Linked DNA regions of Styela clava. The protein of the gene in region 3 purifies or fractionates together with the protein of the main gene of each other region. This does not show direct contact. Links are inferred from orthologs where the notes say so. Each region holds a gene or a part of one and is shown on either strand. Other genes may lie near its edges.

The links. The genes of interacting proteins can lie anywhere in the genome.
Region 1: the proteins of ras GTPase-activating-like protein IQGAP1 (region 3) and E3 ubiquitin-protein ligase HECTD1-like purify together in Homo sapiens (affinity purification with mass spectrometry; 3 studies listed by BioGRID, with this or other methods). This does not show direct contact. The link is inferred for Styela clava from reciprocal best matches to the Homo sapiens genes IQGAP1 and HECTD1.
Region 2: the proteins of ras GTPase-activating-like protein IQGAP1 (region 3) and myosin light chain 3, skeletal muscle isoform-like purify together in Homo sapiens (affinity purification with mass spectrometry; 3 studies listed by BioGRID and IntAct, with this or other methods). This does not show direct contact. The link is inferred for Styela clava from reciprocal best matches to the Homo sapiens genes IQGAP1 and MYL6B.

Annotation. Positions count from the first base shown.
Region 1 is NC_135255.1:18,151,006-18,159,651, forward strand, and holds the start of E3 ubiquitin-protein ligase HECTD1-like, read right to left. Parts: upstream 3,262-8,646; 5' UTR 2,889-3,261; coding exon 2,749-2,888; intron 176-2,748; coding exon 1-175. UniProt on the Homo sapiens protein: E3 ubiquitin-protein ligase which accepts ubiquitin from an E2 ubiquitin-conjugating enzyme in the form of a thioester and then directly transfers the ubiquitin to targeted substrates.
Region 2 is NC_135259.1:2,976,506-2,984,018, reverse strand, and holds myosin light chain 3, skeletal muscle isoform-like, read right to left. Parts: upstream 2,519-7,513; 5' UTR 2,411-2,518; coding exon 2,408-2,410; intron 2,077-2,407; coding exon 2,043-2,076; intron 1,835-2,042; coding exon 1,691-1,834; intron 1,533-1,690; coding exon 1,359-1,532; intron 1,106-1,358; coding exon 1,028-1,105; intron 919-1,027; coding exon 872-918; 3' UTR 762-871; downstream 1-761. Other genes in the region: uncharacterized protein LOC120337727, read left to right, coding at 3,671-3,692, 3,794-4,060, 5,095-5,385, 5,754-5,837, 6,337-6,375, 6,793-7,095. UniProt on the Homo sapiens protein: Regulatory light chain of myosin. Does not bind calcium.
Region 3 is NC_135257.1:7,266,703-7,274,262, reverse strand, and holds the start of ras GTPase-activating-like protein IQGAP1, read left to right. Parts: upstream 1-4,216; 5' UTR 4,217-4,345; coding exon 4,346-4,523; intron 4,524-5,231; coding exon 5,232-5,331; intron 5,332-5,549; coding exon 5,550-5,784; intron 5,785-7,279; coding exon 7,280-7,424; intron 7,425-7,560. UniProt on the Homo sapiens protein: Plays a crucial role in regulating the dynamics and assembly of the actin cytoskeleton.

The DNA.
Region 1 (8,646 bases), on a different chromosome or scaffold from region 3:
TCTGTTACAGATTGCTTTGACAGCTCCATCAACTGCAACAATTCTGCGAGTACATTCGGCAGAAACATCAAGATAATACGTCACAGCACGAGCTGTCACTTCCAGTACATTGTCCGGCGCTGTCTCGTCCAGGAATATTTTACAAAGAGCGGGAAGAAAGCTTCGTGGTGGACACCTAGAAGAATAAATAAACAGTGAATTTGTGTATTACAAAAACGAAAAATTGTTTTGAGGGTATGGACATTTTAACGCAATAGATAACAAAAATGTTTAACCTGAGTGATTCAGGAGTCTTGCTGCACACTAACACAAATATATTTCTGTAACGTTTCGTCTGACCAAGGTCAGACTTCTCCAGACATACATAGTTCAACTATAACAAGAAAAGCATATGAATCCGGCGGCGCAAGAGCATAGAAGCAGGATAAGTAGTTAGTCTCGCAGAAACCAATTAAGTGTTTTCATGCCTCTAGACAAGGCAGCATATATACATAAAAGCTACCTTCTATTCAGCATACCATAATACATGCTTTGGTTATAAATTTTTAATTTTCAACCGGCAATGTCTATCCAAATTCATTGATCGATTTGTATGTGTATATCAAATATATTGTTATGTAGGCATTATTGGAAGATTTCTTTTAGATAAATACAACCAAAGCCTATACATACCAAAGTACATACCAAACATATATTGATATCAATTTACAATCAATACAATAGCTTCAACCGAAGACAACTATTGTTTTAAGGATGATAAAACTTGATATCGTTAATTAAACTGTAGGAAAGCCAGTCAGACACAAGGAACACCTGTACTTATATTGGTCAACTTAAAACGAAGCATATTTGGGTTATTATGAACCGCAACATTAAAATGATCATCATTAGAAAACCAGTAAGCTGTGACTACTCCTCTGGGAAGCGCAAAAGGTTTAATTGGTTTAAAATAAACCTATAAATCATCCTAAGTAACGATTTTTATTAATCCCCAAATAAAACTTACAAAATTTATGATTATTTTAAATTTATTTTTGATCTTTAATTGATATATCCTAATTTAGTGACAAATACAAATATTGACCCACAATTTCTAAATTTCAACACTTATATAAGATTAAGCATCAATAGAAAAAACGAGAATATCGGTCGGAGACCGAAGACTTATCGATAAAAGTTGGGGATCCCCCATTCATTCACTCAGACTCTATAGTACTCACCAATTAATTAATAACTCGCAAGTTATATGACATAATTCATCCAAAATCAATAGGCTTTTGGTACGAGCTATGGTGAATGCACATGCAAAATTTGGGGCAGATTAAACCTCGCTTTCGTGAGATATCGCATGCATCTAACAGACAGACAGACAAACAGACAAATACCCATCAACATACGTACCAATCTTATTAAGATCGATAAGTAATGACATTAAATAATATTGATATTGTATAATATGTGCCATTTGTCCCACATCGATATTATTAAGTACAGAGTGACCCAAAAAAATTAAACCCCTACATTGTGGTTTGAATTAATGAGAAATTTCCAAGTGCAGTTTTAAGTATTCTGTGGCGTCTGAAGCTTCTTCAAAACCATGGCGGGATTTTCAAACCATGGCCATTATTTACCGATACTTACTTTTTAGCTGCCACAAACCAATGACGAGATGCCGTTACCATGGCAGCAAGTTGAGAACCAATGGCGGGTTAAATTTTGCTGCCATAAGCACGGCATGTCGACTATAATGGCAGGGCTTTCTTGACGATGACATAATTGGGTAAGTTAGAACATTTTTCTTATACAGTTTTGATGGATTTGGGGTTAGGTTTCAGGTTTAAGTAGATATAATTCCGCATGATAAACTAATATCTGGTACATGACTTTGTGAATAAACCGCCATATAGCAATAGCGCCATATCCCATGGCAAGGGCTGCCATCGGTTCGTTCGTGGCAGGATCTGCCATGAAGTGGTAAGAATTGCGACTCGGAATTTTATTTGGATTGAATTCTTCGGCCATCTCTATTTTTTTTAAATCAGCTGAAGGCGACAGAACTGAGAAATCATATCGCAGTGTGCAGCATGTCAATAAAAATTAGTAATGGATGAAACTAATGAACAAAAAACCCAATGCATAAACACATCACTTTTTAAATAAAAGAGCTATTTTTTTATTAGGAAATTCGGCATTAAAATCAAAAAATATTCATTCTAGTTCTCAGAATAGCCTAAGAATATATCTTTGACAACAAGGACAAGATTTTTTTTATGTCTATGTGTTTAGTGAATGACACACAGCAACTACAAAAATATTTGTCGTGCGCATCCATTATATACAGAATCAGAAATAGACTTATATGGCATCCTGTGACTCAACCGACGTAACATTAGTATGACATGCTGAGTTGGGTAATCACATTGGTGACGTTATTGCTATCTTGTGACATACAATATGACACCTTATGTTAAAACTTATGTACAATGCATGGGAAATTGAAAAAACTACCGGCATATAACGGGCTTCCAAGAAACAGAGAAAATAAGAAAATCATATATTTTTGATTTTCAAACTCCTGCATTTTTTTATTAAAATACTTTGGCAAATATCGTTTCAAACTATGATTAAAAACCGGCCCTAAGGGCAACTAAGATAAACCATAAACCACCAGCAGTTACGTGATACGAGCAATATGTTCAAATTTCACTCTGGACAACCATGTTTGAAAGTAAAAATAATCCAACTTACATTTCAAAGCATCTGTCCACATTATCAGACATAAGCAGAAGCATGCATAGTTGTTCTAATGCAATTAGTTGCATATCACGTTCCTCTCCTAATCCCATCTGAAGCCATTCCAGCAAAGTATCTGGATCAACATCTGCCATGGTCGAAGGGTTGACGATTTCAAATCAGAATTTATTTAAAAATTCTATCTATGTAATTCCCAATAACCAAGTTTACTTCTGCGTTTTTGATTGAGATAATCCAATAAATGCAAGAATCAATCCGATAGTTTACAATAACTTATTAGATAAGCCTATGACTTATATAGGCTTGTTACAGCACCAGTTTCCAATAATGTGATATCCTGCCTTGTATATGAAGTTTGATATGGTCCAATGTCCTTATGCACTGTGTGTGCACAATCTCTTGCGTCGAGTCACAAAGACATTTTCACTGATGGTAATGAGGACACTGAATGTGAACCTCGGTGTTGCTCTGTATTGATTTAACAGTTTGCAGACAATGATAGTAAAATAAACTGTGTATTAAAGTTGAAGAATAATAGTTATTACTGTTTGTATTGCAGTTTAAGTATTTGTAATAAGATCGAAATTAATGTTTTCTTGCTTCTAAGAAAAGACACTCAATAATCAAAAAAAATATCAATCCAATTCCAAACCACCCTACAGCAGCGAGGAGTCCAGCAATCTTCTCGCACATGATCATCTCCGAATGGGATTTGAACCTGCAAACCCATGAAGGGAAATCAGAGATGCAGTGGCGAGCGTATTCCTAACGCTTAGCACGATGCGCCACACTGGATAGGATTTACATATTTATCCCGGGGGAGAGGAAAGCCGATAAGACGGCTTATTCATATGGCGAACCACGGCCTCTCGTCCGGTTACCATTCCAAGTCGGGTATGGGATTAGTTTTACTGTATTATTTGTTTTCGGAAGCATGGACTTGGTGGTGGACCAGACTGGATTCCATGGCAGGTGCACGCCCGAGGGCGCTAGCGCTCCGCAAAAATGCACGCGAGCGAAATCAATTTTGCACGCCGAAAATTTGCAATTGCTCACCAATGTAAATCGGTTTAAATGGTTTTAAAATCAATAATCCAGTAATATAAAGATGCCAAAATATTATAACTCCACAATTGTCGACAAATACCAGCTTGCAAGATTTGGTCTGATCGAAATATTGCGAAGCAAAAAGACCATGGACCTTTCCCCAACCTTTGACCCGCGAAAAATTCCTCTCATTGTTACGTCCTTTTTTGCATCTTGCTGATTGGCCAATGTCACGAAGTAAACAAGGAAGTCGATGCTCGGGGAAAGGTCCATATCGTGTTGAATGATAGGAGATAGGAATCCCGTGAGAATAGTTATGGACGAAAAGATCGCCTCCGCACCAATGGCCAAGTACGGCTCTGATTCAGCGTATTTTTCATACAATAATTTTACACGAATGTACTGAACAGTACCGGTATCTAAAGTTGCTCAAACACTCCCAAAATTAGTGACAAAGTATGAAAATAATGTTTGGGGTCAAAGGTCAAACGTCCATTTTGCTCTAATTTGACGTATTTTTTATCCATTAATTCTACGTAAAAACACTACCAAAATTAATGACAAAGTATGTCCATTTTGCTCTGGTTCAACGTATTTTTTATCCAATAATTTTACGCGGATGTACTGAACAGTACCGGTATCCAAAGTCGCACAAACACTCTCAAAATTAGCGACAAACTGTAGAAATAATGTTTGGGGTCAAAGGTCAAACGTCCATTTTTTCTCTGTTTCAACGTATTTTTTATCCGATACCGGTAATTTTACGCGGATGTATTGAGAGGTATCTGATGTCAAAGTCAGTTGCACGCGAGTGCAGTTGTTTTGCACGTCGTGAGCTATAATTGCACGCCAGGAATTCTTATTTGCACGCGGGAATTTCTGATTGCACGCCCGATTTCTCGTTCAAAAAGGCCATGAAATCCAGACTGGGTGGTGGAGGAAGCCGTAACCGACCAGCGGTTACGTGAACCACCCAACGACGGCGAGGAGTCCAGCAATCCTCTCGCACATAACCATCCCTGCATGGGATTAGAACCTGCGAACCCACGCAGAGTAATTAGAGGTGCGGTGGCGAGCGTATTCCTAACGCTTAGCCCGTTGAGCCACACCGCCGCGCCACTGCCGAGCTCATACTTATACAGTTCTGCAGTTATACCACTGTCTCACTGATTTCATTATCAGTTTTATTAATTTGTTTTTATCATTCATTTTATTGCTTGTTATGATGATTATGAAGTCGAGATAAACTTATACCTGTATACAAGAATACGGTACCGTACCGTCATGACCGTACTGTCTGGCTGTAGGATACCGTACAGTCTGTGAGTCTGGCGATGTCAGGGTGTGGAGAGAAAACAAACATAATGTTCTCCTTTAACCAGATCCCGCCTTCAAAACAGTGATATTTTTCATAAATCTCAACTGAACCATACCCCCCTAAAGACTCAACTCCTTATAACCGCAACACAAACGCGTGGCACAGAGGAAAACAAAGACAAACAATGACAAAGAAGCGCAACGAGAAAACAACCGCGGTCGCCAGCTGACGCAGAATGGCGAAATAGAATACAAACAGCAACGTGACGAAAAAAGCTGTGACGTCATATTTGTGATAGCTAATCACGAAAAGATTTTGTGCATTAGCGGAGATTTGCGCTAATGATTTGCTTTCTGCGGGACTAACTACTTATCGCTTTTCAATGCTTTTGCGACGGTGGATCCGTATGCATAAAATGCAATGATGCTGTATCAAAAGTAAATATAACTATCCGAAGTGATCTTGCTGCACATAACACAAATATATTGCTGTAACGTTACAAAAACATACGGTATTCTTGTTAGTGTGCAGCAAGACTCTTGAATCATTTAGTGGAGATTAATATTGAATTACATACTTATATCGCGAAATAGGTGTTTGTTTTGTTATCATATAAACAACGAAAATGGATATTGAATCTGGACAAGATGGTAATTACTCATTGGGATAATCATTTCGGTTGGCATCGACATTCGTCTACACTTGAATAAACAGTTTTTGTGAAGACAAATGAATTCACAATTCAACTGATCGGCATAGTTACTTCTGTGATATTAATGTCACGATTTTGTTTGTCTATTTTATAAATATACATTCATCACGAACGAATTTTTGGGCAAATTATACAAAGACTTCGACAGACTATTAAAACTCTGAGCGTTGAGTAAAGGTTTCGCGATCGATCGATTAAATTAGTATCCCATTGTTTTGGGTACTGCATAAAATGCTAAAATATTTTTTAAACAGTTATCAAAGCAAACAGCTTATCTTGTTGTTGAATATTCATATATATTGAACTGCGGCAAAAAACTTAACATTTACAATTTTTCCGTACCGCGAGTGGGCAGCAAAAAAACGACATGAAATATAAATAGCGTTGCCAGATTTCTGGAAACAAATATGAGCAAATTACCATTTTTTTCGAATTCTGATATGAGAACATACCGAAAATAATATTTCTTTGCTATTAAAATAATTTACTAACTTGTTTATCTATCGAATCACATATATAGCCAAGCGTGGATCACGATGGCGACGAAATAAGAGCTGAAGAAGTAAGATATCGGAATTCAAAAACAGGTTCCCAAATGCGACCCGCGCGAAGTTGTACCGCTTATAATGCATGAAACAAAAATTTCTCGGTACTCCCAGAGTAAGAAAAATTGGTACACATACTTCGGGAGTACCAATTTCTCTGCGCAGGTATTTATGTCGTAACAACGGCTGTTATACTTATAAATTTATGTTACCCGTCTATTGCTTTACGTAAGAATAGAGGTAGACACTTCTCGCTACAATTTTGTAGGCTGCAGTTTAGGTATCTTCTGAACCGAGGTTGGCGAACATGAGTGATTGTTTTAGTATTTCAAAGGAAAATCGCGCTGTGATGATGAAGAAGAGTTGACAGATCTTTTGTACAAAGGCCCCGTCTCTAGTGCAAAAATGTGAGATTTGAGAATAACACCCCGCCACATTTTTAAACAAAAATTGGTAATTATCCAGTTAGCGTTAGTATTGTGTTAAAAATTTGAATTTCCGGCGCAATCTGCATTCCTGACCCTATCTGAATAATACCTAATTTTTTATTTTGAGCTTTTGCGGGGATTAGCTTTGTACGAAAGATCCGAGTTGATCCCGAGCGTTTATTACTTAGGCCTGTATATTTACAAACTTTAAAAAGCATAAAGTACACTTTAAGTCTTTAACGATTACAAAATTGAGTTTTTAAAAGTCAGCAATTTTTCATTTAAGTACGGCGTGGGTTTTTTCCCCTGATAATTCGGGGCCGAATGAGCAAAGATTTTGGGAATTGCTGCCATACCCGACATGAACTGGTAACCGGACTAAAGATCGTGGTTAGCCGTGTGATTAGGCTGTCTACTCGACCTCCCTTTTCCCAGAATAAATATGAAAATCTTATCCAAACATAAAATTCCGCGGGGTGAGTCTGCGTGTTCGTACAATTCTCCGTAGGAAATGCTGCGGCGGAAAATTTCGCCGCATGAGAAATCGCTGCAAGAGCATTTTGCTGTAAAGCAAGTATTTGTAATAATAAAAACCGTTGGGTTTATAGGTTTAGGGTATGCTCTTAAATAACTAATCTTTTTAAATGAAAAGGTCAAAAACATAACTGTTTTTATCACAAATACTTGTTTTACAGAAAAATGTATTTGCGACGATTTTGCATGCCGCGAATTTCCCCATGCGCCGAATTTTCTTGCGGCCAAATGTTCTGCGGCGAGATTTCCTACGACGAAATTTCTTGCTGCTAATTTTCCTAGAACCATAAGTCTGTAAACCCGCCAATATCCGACACAATCCACTAATTTACGTACTACATCGGTAGATACATCCGAGGTTTGTCCAACGACATTTTTGATGATTTTAGTTGCTGTGTGGAACGTTCTGTTAATCAGTAATTTATTTCTTCACCACGCTGAAAATACCAACTATACACTTGTGGCTATAAGTAAGTATATTTGGTAATGACTTGAATTAAAAAAAACGTTGAAAAGTTTGAGGTTGTAGTAAAACGTCATGGTACCAGAATCGTGACGTCATAGTACCCGTTTCAACTGGCGAGTAATCAGTCAGTAATTAGTAATTTATTTTTTCATCATGCTGAAAATACAAACTATACATGCTCAAATTAAAGAAAATATAATAAAAATCGCATAACAGGGTGAAAGGAGACGCCGAAAACCAAAACTAGTTATCGAGCGGCGGCGCCCTTGGGGAAAATCTTACAAAACGTGATAAATAATATAAAGTCGAACAAAATCTGTTATTTAATAAGTAAAATAAAAAACAATAGGTATGTTAAGGCGGCCTGGTACATACAAAACCGTTTCCAACAAAAGAAGGTTTCCTTTCAACGGTTAAATATAGCAATGGGAAATGATTCAGCACTATCCTAACCTCTTATCTTTCGACATACGCGCGTAGTGCGCGTAGTCCCTAAGTGCTGAAGTCAGTGATATCTTAACAACCACGAAACTGCTTTCAAATACCCAATGATTTGGTCGAGATTTATTTTATTTTTCTCAGCGTGCGACCACTCTTTCGAGCCAAACCTATATATGTTGTCCTATATATTAAATTTTCGGTGCTCCCGAAGTATGCGAACCAAGATGGCGGACATCGGAACGTAACATGGGTAACAGGTTAGGGTTAGGCGATAATTTTTCCTTATTTGAGTCCTATTATCAGTTCGAAGACTAGCCAAGAGCTTCCCGTAGTATTTATACCTAAAATTATGGCCTAACCCTAACCTAGTACACATATTACATTCTGATGTCCGCCATCTT
Region 2 (7,513 bases), on a different chromosome or scaffold from region 3:
AAAAATGATAATAATGATATAATACCAGAGATGCCATGCGATGCCAGTAACTCACACATGGGCCAATGGCTGGGGTTCAGGTAAGTTACAATAAATATAATCAGACCAGCTGAGCTTTGTATGAAAAGCATGTATTTGTAATAAACCGGCTAAACTTGACCTACAATTCGAGTGATTATATAATATCTGCCCGGGCTGTTTGTCCAATATATATTGTGCTTCCAACGACAGAGCCGAGACTTCCCATGGCACATTCTCAATTTATCTGTAGGCTTCTGTCACTTTTGCGCTAATCGTATATACTTAGGCAATCGCTAGTTTCGCTACAAAAAAAAATTTTTTTTTACCAAAACAGCATGTTTATCTGCATTCATTGCAATATTTAGATCAGGCCTGTGAGTCTTTAATGGTATCAGTCAGTGGTGTAAGAAGGTTACAGACCATTGGTTTATACATTGAGCACATGACATTACGTCAAGTCAGAAAGTAGGTCGGGAGTTCCGTTGCCACTCGAGCCGCTGAGGATTGAAATGACAAGAGGATGCTATTGCACTATGAGTAAAAATCTGTTGTTAGTGTGTACTCATTTTCCCAATCGAAATGACGGCAGTCAATTTATACCCCCTGCCCTTTGTTAAAAAGTATTCTCCAATCAGGTTCTGCTAATGGGACAGTTCTGATAAGAAGCAACATGGTTGCTGACCAACGTAGTGAACTCATTTTCTGGCATATTGTTTAGATTAGAACACATATACACATAATATATATATATTCTATTTATTACAGAAAATTATGAAGCAATCAATTTGCATGTAAGGATATTGAAGGAAAGTCGAGTTGTGAACATATCAATAGCCTGGATTTTTTAGCTTCATTTCTTTTCAGGTTCTCCTTCCGAAAGTAAAAATTTGCTGAAAGCTGAAATATAAAGATTAAAATAATTTTTTTTTGGAAAGTTGTAAAGATCGCCTAATTTAATTAGATTACTGAAGAACAAAATATTTTGAAAGTTGTCAAAGATATTTACCTTCGTAATTCATTTCTCCAGTATTGTCTTCCTGTCCTTTCATCATCAAACTGACCTGAGCCGATGTCAGTTTCTCTCCTAGTAAATTTAAAAAAATGTAAATTTAAGCTATTATCTCGCAAAACCTTAAATAACGACGAAATAAACTGATATTATACAAATATATGTAAATAGAGAGTAAGATATGAGAAGAGACTGTAGTTAGCCAATCATGTCTGTTGTTGACCATGCCGTGCTAGTAGTATAAAGGCCTTACACATACAAATTGTTTACTTAATTAGCTAGAATTATTTTATAAAGGTGCTGATTTCTCAGTTGTGTACGGCTTTACCCAAAGTTGTCAAAACATGTCGAATTTCAGCGCCCATTACTGTTCCCTTGCCGTCTTTATCGAATACTCTCAATCCCTCCACAAAATCTTCGAATGTTCCTTTTTGTCCCTCTTGGATAATTTTTTGAAAAATTGGAAGAAATTCCTCAACTGTTATTCGTTTTGTTTTCAGGTCTGAAATAAAAAAAATAAAATTATAATGAAAAATAAATCATTTGACGGTATTTCGGACGTGTATGCTTACTTCACCACGCAAATAAAACCTGTATTATTAAAAGCAACAAATATAAACATAATAATAAGAAGTAAATAATGTTCTTTGGTAAATATACCATCGGCAGACGGATTTCCCATAAATTTCGTAACGTCTTCGTTAGTTGGATCTTCCCCCATAGCTCTGGTAACATCACCGACCTGATGATATGATATTTTTCCATCGCCAGTTGTATCAAAAAGCTCGAAAGCTTCTTTGATGTCTGTAAATAAAAATCATTCTCTGATTTTATGTTGTGTTTTCAATCAAATGCGTATAATAAGTAAATAGAGTTATTGAAATATCTAGCCAAATACATTATACGCTTCCTCATATTTTATTAAAGAGCTCATGACTTCATTAAATTCTCACACTTAGAAATGAATATACTTAAAAAATCAAAACTTGGTTCAGTATTAGATGATACCTACTTTCAATCTTTTTTTCGGAGAATTCAACAGCAGCCTAAAATCATAAAATGTTAAAGTTAATAGTATTCTATGTTGCAGGTACACACATGCGTCTAAGTTCCGAGGTTATGCAATGCTTATTATGAACACTCAATTCATTTTTCTGCACGAATAATTCTGTACAATTTTTCTTGTTTCTAAACGCCCGAGCCTATGTTTCTGACAGTTTCTCAATCAAAAATTATCATTTAGAATCATGCTTCGTGTATGAACGAACATATGACCAATAGCCCAACTCTGTCAAATTGCGTCAACGAAAGTAAGTCCATCAGACCGCCTTAGCCATCGTCAGATACGAGTAACCCATGGACTTGTATAGTACTTACCATAGTTTAGTATTAGGAATAGTATTTGTTGCTTTCCTCTAGAATGTTTTCTTTGCTAACTGGATGACACTTCTCCCCAACCTGTGAGTTTTATACTAGTGAGACAAAAGCGCGAAAGCTCCTAAGGTGAGAAAATTGATGTTTTTCTCGCTAATCGATACTTGAGATCAGCTGTAAAATTAATGTCTGACTTTTGATGCGTTGTCATCACTTTTGTATTGTTGGTGTTGTATTCTCTGATGTGTTATTCTTGAATGTTTTGATCTTGGCATATATACGAGATTGGCGATGATGTGCTGATTTGGTCGAGTACAATCATTTTACCGTGGGGAAGTCCAAGGTGATATATGTCTTCGCTCCGTTCATTACGATGATTTAAGAGTAATATGCTATAAGGTTTTGTGGATCACAAAGTTGACCATCCCTGTTTGTAAACCCCAGGAGCTCATAAAGTTGACCTTTAAGCTGGCACATGGTAACAAAATATGACGACCAGTGCCAGAGCCTTCTCTCTCTGATTGAAAATACATCGCGATACTTACACAAAAAACAACATACTTACAAATAAATAGTTCCAAGATCGTCGAGGAGAAATTTTCAAAATGCCGTGAGCAAAGCTATGCATATAATTGAAGTGGCAAAATCATTTAAAACCGAAGACCTGAAAGTACCGGTCAATGATTTTTATTCAGCATTGTTTCAAGGGTAACAAAGGCCACATAATCCAAAACTAGATTATATTACGCATGATAGGGCAAAGATAAAATAACGCTCTGACACATTACACCGCCAACTGAATGGAACGAACCGTAAAGACATCGACAAAACGACACATTTGTTCCAGTCTCTTGTACAGTTATGAAATGCGTTCCTGTGGTGGATTGGCGAGCTTTGTTCAGTTAGTCGCCTAATTGACATGAACTTTAGTTCAGATTTGTTATATATCAAAGCAAAGGATTTTTAGATCTAGCTTTGAAAAGTATTTTTTATACATTGAAAACCGTTTGTGACGTTGTAAAACTGACCAAATCTCATATCTAGCGAGAGATTAGAATAAAACAAAATACGGAAGCTATTAATGATTTGTCTGTTTACACCCGTACACACCAACACTTTTATTGTAGACGTATAAATGTACATGGCCAGAATATATTTTCTATATACGATGTGACTCAGAATTGCTCAATCGATTGCAGATCATATTTTTTGAGTGAAGCTTCCATAAATATATTAGCTAGCAATGCTTTCGTATACAATGTGCTGATGGATTTTCAAAATCAGGAAGGTAATTAGCCAACATAATTAAATTCGACTAGTATATGTTACGTTTTTTTTGTGACTTCTTTTAGCCTTTGCTGCTTTTATTTTCGTCTATTTTTTAATTAGGAACAATGGTGGAATTGGCTTGCGATGGTGATAGGATTTCATTCACCTGGAAAATAACATACGGAGTCACCGGATATTCTTTGCTTGTAAGAAACGCAAAAGATCGGAATCCTCTTGTCATTCACGAAAAGTTTTCTGCTGGTGACTGCCGTTATGAAGTAAATATGAATGAGCGATTACGATATGGTCAGGTATGTGAAGTTAAACTACAAACTTATGGACCTGGCGAAGAATTCCAAGAATCGAACTGGAATGTCTTCGTGATAGGTAAGTTCAGGCAGTAATTCATTGCATATCCATTAAAAAAACTCTCCTTTCGCAGACACGAAATAGCATGCCGCATTCTTGCTTTGGTTTTCACTTTTATCGCGTAACTTTATCGCCAAGTTGGTACCTACACCAAAGATATAGGATTTCAGCGGGAATGTTTATCCAAGATATCAGGGAGACGCTTTTAGTGAAAAGGGCAAGAAAAATCATGAAACATGTCTCACGGGGCTACTACAATCCAAAAACACTTTGATCAGGGTCCCGCTCACCGTCCAAAGTCGGCAAACCTAGTGCGTTAATACGATATTGGAGGATATAATATACTTACATTGGCGGCAACCTACCTAGGTTCGAATCAGGACCTGATTCATTTTTCTACATTCTTACGTAATATAGTTTGTCTGTGCCACCCTTGCTTGATTTATGAAGTTGTACAGCGCATGTTGGTTAGAGTTACTTGCTAACTTACTGTTATAAATTGATTTCGAAAGAACTATAAGCGATTAGGGAAGGGAATACAAGAGAAAAGTGCAGAAAACGAACTATTGTGTGATTGGGATGCCATTCCTGTGTCTTAAAAACTTTGCAACTGCATTACTCTCCATGTTTTCATTGACATATTATGCCCGTGAATCTCTGTTCTCTGTTATGAACTTTATCAGTTCTCGTAACAGGAATAGCCTGAAATATGAAACCAGTAGTTCGTGTATTTCTCTGAAAGTTACAAAATATAAACCCAATGTAATATAAACCCTATCAGCGGTAATACAGCAGCAGAAGTCTCACTCATATGGAATAAGAAAAGTGATCAAATCTATTTGCCGGACTGATGTTTTCCGTCTGTACTTGTTTATAAGGTTTAATATTGTGTATTTTTGCTTTGAAAGTAGCAAAGCGTTGTTTTCAATTTTGGTCGGCACGCGGGTGAATTTTGTTGTTAAATTTTGGCAAGCGAGCCGAAAAAGGTTGCTCACTCCTGCCCCCTGGGTGGGTGGGCTCATTTCTAATTTGGGGTATGTTTTTATTTTTAGGTGGCCCGACGGTTGCGATCAATCCAACGGCAGAGATAAACATTATGAACCCGCGGCGTAGTGCAATTGTGAATTGGGATGAACCACAGGAGAAGCCGGATTACTATGAAGTCGTGGCTATACCAAATATAGGAAAAGCTAGAAAACAAACTTGTCCCTTTTCTCCTGTAATCATGAAGAGATTAAAAAGCGACTCAAAATATCAATTTCTAGTACATGCCATTCATAAGGAAAACAACAACCCGCAGAGTACCATCGGATGCAAAACAAATACCGTAACAACCCATTCACGTAAGTCAAAATCTATCTGATGCAAATCGGTATTTAAGATTATCAGTATTTATTCATCGAAAAAACTAAAAATTCGTTCACATTGAAGAAAAAAAGTTAGTGAATTGAAGGTAATATAGCAAAGGTAGTAAGATTGCAATAGAGAAATGAAAAATGAAAGAACGTAATTGTCTTGTGTCTTGCAAATGAAACATTAATATATATACCACTATTTCTGTGAAATATACGTGTGTGGATGACTGGATGTTAGGGCGAACCACTAACACCGCTTGCTTTGTGGGCGCGATCAGCTGTTTTCTCCTCCGATTGTAAGATATATCTGAAGAGTTTGGTAATGATTTTGTTTTCAAATTTTTCCCTACATGCAGGAAAAAATACACCCGGAAAATTTGCAAACTTTGCCGATATAGGACAACAATCCGTATTCAATTTCGAGCATGCACAATTTGCTAGTGAGTATACCTTTTATTATACTTGAGACCTATCATGAATTAAAAATTGTGTTAACCCAACACAATAGCGTGAGTTGAAAGGTACTTAATGCTTAAACTTTATAAATTATTACAACAGTTCTTCATTCAAAAAATATTGAATTGCTAAAATTATTTAAAAATGAATAAATTGTAGAAGGTTTTTGAGTGTAACAATTTTGTTTAATCATATAATACATTTATAATTTAAGTTAATTTACGAACGTATGTTAATTCCTATTTCCTTAATTCTTCATCATTTTTACGTTTATATATTCCCAGTGTATGAATAAGTCGGTAATTAGGTCAGCGTATAAAATCCAAATTGTTTTTTAATTTCTAGTTTCTGAGAAGGCATTCCATTGGAAACGGCAGTTAATTGTGTCTGGTTCCTACGCTCGTGTTGTTTCACTACGTGATGTTAGACATTTTAATATATTCTATTCAAGTATAGAATGTAATATTTTTTTTCTTTCTTCAGACAACAGTCAAACCATAAAAATCAAAAGTCAAAATATGAGTAAGTACAATTCTTCAAAGCAATTAATATTATTTTCTACGTCACAGATAATTATTTTCAGCATTATTTCGCGCCATATTTTTGTTTAAAAAAAGATATATATTTATGTAGACCTGCAGTAGTTACAAAATTACATACATGCAAATATAAAGTTTTTACGTTGTACGAATAGAAAGAGCCATTTTTATGTACTAATAACGTTCGCACTCATTATTTACCAATATCAGATATCGATACCGAGTATATATCAATAGCAGGCATACTCAAATATATATATTCATACGGAATGATAATAGCACTTAATAAACATTCAGTTCAAATATTACTTATGCTTCTAACTTGAATTGTATCATTGTAAAGTAAATTGTTGAATTAATGTTACGACAAATATATTTTTCAATGATTCATTTTCTTCAGTCAAAGCACATAATACAGAAATGTTGATGATCACTGACGAAATAGTTGGCGAGCAGGCCACTGTAATATGGGATAACCCAGACAACTGCGATGAGTCAGGAGACTTTGAGATTCTTCAATATAATGTTGATGTTCGAGAAGCTGGCTATATGATGTTTTCTATGCCATTCTTGGAGAATACACAAACACACACATTTCCAATCAATTTGGGAAAATGTTACACAGTTAACATTAAAACAACTTACGAAGACATCGATGCAGAAACAACTGAGCACTCTTACGTCAAAGAAATTTTTTTTTCGAGTGATTTGGTTTCGTTAGATATGCTTTTCTCCTTGTTTGAATAGTAACTGAACACATTTTTCATAAAATCTCTCAAACATTTAGGTTTGTAGGCTTTTATTTTTCACAAAAAATGATATGATTTAACTTGGTAACAATTTCAAGACTACTTACGAGCAATGAAAGCATACCTGCATTTGTTTAATGTCATTCAGTTACGTGGAATTCATTACATTATAGCTTATTAGAATGATTAGGCCAAAACACTGCGACTATTAGGTCACACCGTCCGAGAGTCCAGTGTTTGAAAAATTAGTATCAATTTTGTTCCGATTGTGCTTTCAAATCAATGACTAAAATTGTGGCGATGACAATCATTGGATTGAAATATTTGTAACTAATTTGGTGTGCCGAAGTTGCCTGTATATGCACAGTTAGT
Region 3 (7,560 bases):
TACCTGTTTCATTATTTCGAACTATCGTTCGCGGAGTTTTACTAGTGTATAGAAAGTAGATATCATAGAAATCACGAGGGTCGAGAGCGGTGGTTCTCAAACGGTGGGACGTAGACAATTTTTTGAAAGGCGTGGGGCTAAATAAAAATAATTGTGAGATTTGATCTTGCCCGCCTATTTGTTTTTTAAACTTTTCATTTATTTATTATTCACGTTCCATCCCCATATTTTCAACGTGTTTTTGCATAAAACATACTTTCGCCTTATTATCTGTTACTTGTAGATTATTGTTAGCTAGTTATTTTTAAAGTGGGGCGCGAGACTTGACAAATTCTAAATTGGGGGCGCGGCCTAAAAAGTTTGAGAACCACTGGTTTAGAGGAAAAAACGCAAACCGACAGCGTATAGTAGTATTTTGCTGGTGGAATATGTCATTGTCATTAATCTATTGTTGTTCCATGACAAGCTACATGTTGCGACAAGTAGGAGAATATCGCCAAATAAAACATCACTTAGGAAGATTGTCAATTTGCACTGTCGTTCTGAATAAGTAAAGGAAACTGGTTAAATTTGTATTTGCCGACGATACAACACAACCAGTCAAAGAATGTTTGCTTAGTTCTTTAATTTCTCATGGAAAGTATTTATTTTATAGACATGTTGGAGCGTCCCGTTTTCCTTACTGTGTGTTTAGCCAACAATGCGACCGGTTTCGTTCAACTTTTAAGGGTTGCACTGGGAAGCCGAACTCGTATCCAGAAAATACATACATTTTGTACATGTGAGAGGAATGTGAAGAGCGTATGATCATTTATTACTAAGGGAAAACTCCAATTTCTTTAGCGTCTGCTTTATGTTATGGAAAATGAAAGAGTTAGTATAACATGGCCTGTATATATAAGGATGGAGGAAAGACCTAGCATTTAGCCGAATTGTCTTCCTATGTTGTCGAATACACGCTAGCGCTTAGATTTACTGATTTATGCTCAGCAAAGTGAAACTCTTTGCGTCATATTATAAAACCAACACCATTTATAAAAGGAACGTTTAAATTATATTTTAGCCAAATGATAGACTTGTGCAAATTTTCGATTAATGTTTACTTTGAAATTATCGGGATGAGATTGACTTATGGCAGGCATGACTTTTCTGCAAAGTAGAGTACAGCCAGTTGTATCGCTATACCGCTTGCGACCTCAAGAATGGTCGACCTGTCGGAATATGTCGAAGACATTTGATGGATATTTTGGCAATAGCTATTTGAAATTGGAACTGCAACTTCGAGTCAAACATTTATCAAAGCTGAGGGTTCGCCCAGTAAACGGTGCTTTCATATACAACACGGTAAACTGCTTCTGAGATGCTAATCGCCTTTCATACTCATTCGTCGATGAAGATTTCTTGTTGACGAAGCTTGTTTCTTCAAACGTAATATGTATAACATAAGAAACCCAGTTTTAAAGGTTCATTGAATTCTTATCAGAGTATATCCATCAACTGTCGATCATGCTAGATTTTGAATGAACCGCGTCTAATTTGATGAATATTTCGAATTGCCCGAACAGTATGTAGTTGTAATCGTTTTCGTTTGAGAAATCCGAGCGGAACATTGGTCAACCACGCTTGTGGAGTGTATCTTATCCGCAGGAGAGTATGCCTCTCTTATTGGTACATCATGGACATGGATCGCATATCGTTATTTACGTATTTGTGTAAGAACATGTATCAAAGGTCATTTAAGGTCTTTCCTCTTTACTTCTCGTCTTGTGTAGTCGTTTTATCAAAATGAAATCCCAAGAGCCGCCCACTTTAAAGAATTTCATGTTCTTTCGCCAAGTCCCTCGTGGAAATGTCAATTTATAACGAATGGTATTAAATAGAATACGGGATTAGAACGCGACTTGTACTTGGTGTGTATGATATATGAAGACGATAAATTTGTTGAAATTGAAAGTTCAATTATTGAACCGTTTTAGATAGACTGATCGTGACCGCAGCGCATGTGAAAAATGATTACTTCATTTAGTCGTCGATGGCCAATTTTCTGATCTGAATGGAAATCAAGTCTGTGCGACAAAATTAGTAGCATTTATAGAATAGCACAGTGTCAACTTAATATGAGAAAGCTTTTGCAAGTATAGTCAGTAAGTGTACTTACCGGTAACTGCGAATCTTAGTATAATATTGTTTCGAATTAATTCTCGTGCTTTATCAGTACTGACTAAAATTTATGGACGCTTGTACGTGACTTAATTAGATGTAGATACGAAATGAAATCATATGAGTCAACCAAGTTTCAGTTTTAGGAACGAGAATAATATGTCAAGAAGAACTTTTACTGACACGTCTGTGGCGTTAAATTTGTTGGATTTATAGACAGTCACGTAGTATGGAGTAATACAACTGGACTTAGAATATTCTTGGGTTGCTAGCTTCGAAATCAGTAACATCAGGCAACGGAATATCGTATCGCACATAACATTTTCATTTCAGAAAAAAGAACAATAAAAACGCTGACATTTCCAAATTGCAATTTTCATTGTTTGATTTTCTGACCTTATGAAAAGTGACAGAAATGGAATAGTGATGTCATACAGCCATAACGAAGACAATAAAATTCAGCGACATATAACTGGACATTTTGTTTTCTATTACAAAGCCGAGCGCAATTATTCCTATATTCAACAGGTATTATTATTTCACCAGCAGGTGTCAATGCAATTAGCGTTCGTTCAAAATTTTGTCCGAAGTCCAAAATTTAACAATTTTCAAGCATGGTTGCAATACTTATTTCTGTGAAGTCTTTGTTACAACTTACAGCCCTACACATTCGAGTGTGCCATCATCGCCCATCATTATTACATTTCAATTGGTTTTTGTTCATGTATTATTGACTGTAAATAAATCTGCTGTGTTGCTAATTTTATTTCCACAATAGATATAATGCTGCATTTAGGAAATTCGAATTGCGCTTGTTATTTTGGTAATGAAAAGTTTATTTCCGAATCTTCGGACTTGCGTCCCAGCTCAGGCTCTTATTGTAAAATATATTTCTGCTGTTATCACGTGAAGGTCTACCACACTATAGCGCGAGGTCTACCTTAAGCTGGTACTATAGCGTGAGGGGACTGTTAGGCTTAGGGTGTAACTCTTTCTGCAAAATTTTGTATTGCGCTCAATCGATGTTAATGAGGTCGAGATGGATGGAATGCGAGAGACTGCACCTGAATAGTCCGCGTATACCTCACGCCATAGTCTCGCATATCTGTTTTATAAGGAAAGTCCTTGGTTCTTATTTATAACCTGAATGTTATAGTTATAGGTTGATAAAATTTCTCCTCGATCGCAGTCGGTTTCTTTCATATCGTAGAGACGTAGAACATACGGCCGAATGTATCAGAGATAGATTCATACGTTAGAAGTAGGAAGAATGAAACAACGAGCCGGTCAAGCACTTGTTTGTGTTTGCTCTCTCTAATTATTTAGAGACCAAACAACAAATAGATCCGGTCTGTTTATTTTCCCCGCGGAAATAAACTTGTGAATTGAAGTCGGTCGGGTTCTCAGTAAAAGCGGATTTCCCAGCAAGACGTGCTTTGTATTTTGCATTTTCTCTTTGTTTGCACAAGACTAATTGGCAGATTATCAGCGTCTGTATTCCGACGCCATAAACGAGACACCAACTGAGAGTGGTAAGGAAGGATATTGTGGAGTAGAAAGGAATTTTACTGAAACATTTTTGTTTATGGAATAGAAATAATAAGGACGAATAACATTTATTTAGCTTACTTAATTTAGATAAGATGCATTAGCAAATTTTGGGGTAAAAAAAATCATAGTTTGTTTGCAGCTCTTTCTAGAGTAGTATATTGCAGGCACAGGGTAATTGGCGGTGTTATATTTTATATAGATTGAGTTTGACATAGAATTGGCAGAATGGTGGTATTTTTATCCTTGTTTCTTCTGACCTGTCACAATTTAGTCAAAGTAATCAATTCAAATGTGATACAAACATAACCAAGTTGATCAATCGATTAGTTTATACTATTTTTACCCTTCCAATAGTTCAATATGTTCTGAAGAATTAAACAATAATAAAGTTTAAAGTATTTTTCTTGTTTGTGATAAATAATTCAAGTTTGGCTTCACTCTCTTGAATTTCAACTTGTTTCATATATGTATTCAAATATATTTTACTTTGTTCGTTTTATTGTAAAAACAGTTCAAAATGAACCTGTTCCAAAGGTTGTAAAATTTAAATTGTAGTAAAGTAGATATTAACAAAGAACATAACAGACATAAAGTCTGCAAGCTTATTTTTGGGAGAACAAAAGATTTTTAAAAAATGACCTCAGAACATCCTGTACAAAATGGAATTAATGGTCATCACACACCTGCGCCACACCCCCATGCCCAACAAAGTTATCATCCTGGACCACGTAGTCGAAGCAGTAGTACAGCCAGTGATAAATCACAACAATTAACAAGGAAATTATCTTTCTCACTACGCGCTTCTGATTTTGGTAGGTATATACAAATGAACTCAGGAAGGACATTGTTATTAAAAGCTGTTAGTTTTTTCACACAAATCATTTCAACAATTTTTGTTTATACCATTAGTTTTTGTATTCTGTTAGTCAATGTTTATCATTATTCATTACATGAGTATGCTAATGTGAGGCACTTTATTATTAAGGTTTAAATTAATTTTTGTCACTTCCATGTGCGGAATAAGAATTTTCATTTTAGCTATCCTACTCATGATGACACTTCATGATATAACCAAAATTTGAAACTAGCCTATTGTTTGTTCACTATAACACCAATGAAGACCATGGAGCATGTTAAATTCAATGTTAGATGATTTTTCTGTGCTTTTTTTATTTAAAAGACAATGTCAATATGAGTTATAGCTTGATTATGTGTATGTTTCTGGTGAATTTATGGATTTTAGGATTTACATATTATCCCGGATGAGAGGAAAGATAATCCACCACAGGATTTGAACCTGTCAACCTACACAGAGTGATATGACTTGCGTTGGCAAGCATATTTCTAACACTTAGCGCGATGCGCCACACTGCCGAGCCTTAATATTTTAGAACTGTTGTTATTAATATTGTTTCTAATTCACGATTATTTAATATAACGGGTCGAGGTTATGACTGTGAGAATGTATTGTTAGTACATGAAAACAAAGAAACAATTTCAATAATTTCAAATTTTCACAGGCATCACCAAAGATGAACGTCTCACGGCTGAAGAAATGGACAGCCTGCGTAACCAGGCTACAGCATATGAATATTTGTGCCATTTGGAAGAAGCAAAAAGGTAATAAGACCTTGTATATTTGAAGTATCAAATACAGCTTCCAAAATATGTTTTCAAATTCCATATATTTGTACTCGTATATACTAATCCTAATCTATGCATATTTTGTATTAAAAGTATGGCTAATTGGCAATTTGCTCTGTATGATTTAGTCTTACTGATTAATAGTTGCTGTCATTTCAATATTCCAATTTTACCATTTTTCTTTTGTTTTCCAGATGGATAGAAGCTTGTATAAATGAGGAATTACCGCCTAGTGTCCAGTTGGAAGAAGGTCTCCAAAATGGTGTATTCCTTGCAAAACTTGCACATTTTTTCAATCCTAAAGTGGTTCCGATCCGAAAAGTGTACGACAAAGATCAGAAAAAATATGAGCAGAAAGGTCTCCATTTCAAACACACTGACAACATTAATCATTTCTTTAAAGCAATGGAAGAGACTGGATTACCAACGGTACGCTTTATTATGTCATTGAGTTGGTTAGTTAGGATAGGATTAATATATTTATCCCAGTGAATAGAAAAGCCGATATGAGGGCTTAGTCGTATGGCAAACCACAGCGTCTTGTCCTGTAACCAGTCCATGTCGGTTTTAAAATTAGTTAGTTTGAACATGATCAATGAATGCATAGTGTATATGTAAATCTGATATTCAGATTAAATGTAGGTGTGCAAAAAAAAGGTAGTGTTTTGATTATTGTATTTATTGATAATATTTAATGCTTGGGAAATTCAGATTGTGAGCTGAGTCTAATTCTTATTAATCTTAATTCAACAAATGTTATTTCAAAGTATTCAAACCATGCCACTATATAACTAACTTTTGTGCAATACACTGTCAGGTATCATCAAAGTTGTATAATGATATTCCACTTTAGTAAGAACTGTTTCAAACCTCCACAATAAAAGATTTGTCCCTTCCATACTCTGGAGATCTTTACTTTTAAACGCCCTTGTTTGAACCAACAGCATGTAACAGCGTAAATTCCAGGTTTTCAATACAATAAAACGATTGTGTAACCACACCATTGTGTGGTAAATTGGCCTTTTACCCAAAATGCGTTGGGCCTTTTTAATGTCATCTAGGTTGCTAATATTGTTATATCAATTCGCTTGTGGCGAAAATTGCTAGGCCCACTGACGCTAATAATTCTAATATTAGATTTGTCTGACGATGGCGACATTTTTATTATACGCTTTGTCATATTATATTTTTATTCTTCACTGTGTTGCCATCAGATAACTAACATTATAAGCCTACTTCCTTTTTTGGTCAAATAATATAAGTTTATAGTATGAATGATGTAATCGGCGCTTTATTGGCTCCATGCAAGGGCGTTTTTCTTTAGCATCGATCATGCTTCCAGTCATTTCCTGTTTCAGCCATTGAACCACAAATCTTTGTCATTCTGTTCTGTTTGCCAATGGTTTAGCCTGTGGCCTTTCTACACTTTGATTTATATTGATTTCATATTAATAAATGATAAATAAAAAATTGATCATGATATGTGTCAAGCTAAAACGTTTCTTAATAAGACATTTGAAGTTCATGAATATCTTTGTAGATTGATATTCAGAATTTGGCCCATCAGTTCAAATACTCATTTATAATAAAGAAGATTGAATTCTGATAGAATTCTGCTGTTAGACACATGTATAAAAACTGATTGCAAAATTGTATTTTTGTAGATTTGCTTTTTTGAATACATTTGATTGATGCTCAATGATGCAATATATTCCGAATAGCCTAATTGAAATCTACGTTCCGATAGTTTTGATTGGTTTTCTTTTTTGTCAGTGTCAAAAGTTACACAAAGTTTATTTTTGTTGTGACCATTAGATGTTGAATGCTTATGAATGTCAAGTGCATGGATTATTCAATTTTTTTAAAAATAAGTAATTTGCTAGTTAAAATATAGCTAATTGATAACTTGGGTTTTCTTTTTCAGATTTTCTACCCTGAAACAACGGATATCTACGACCGTAAGAACATGCCGAAAACTATTTACTGTGTTCATGCTCTGAGTTTATTTCTTTTCCGCCTTGGAATCGCTCCCCAGATTCAGGACTTGTATGGAAAAGTGGAATTCACAGGTTTGTGATCTTTTTATTTCACAACCTTTTTCAGACTTAGATGGCTATCTAAAACTGAAAAATATCATTGATTAAAGTTTGTAACATATACAGTAGTCTGGGATATGTAGTATCATACCAGAGATGGCCAAAACCG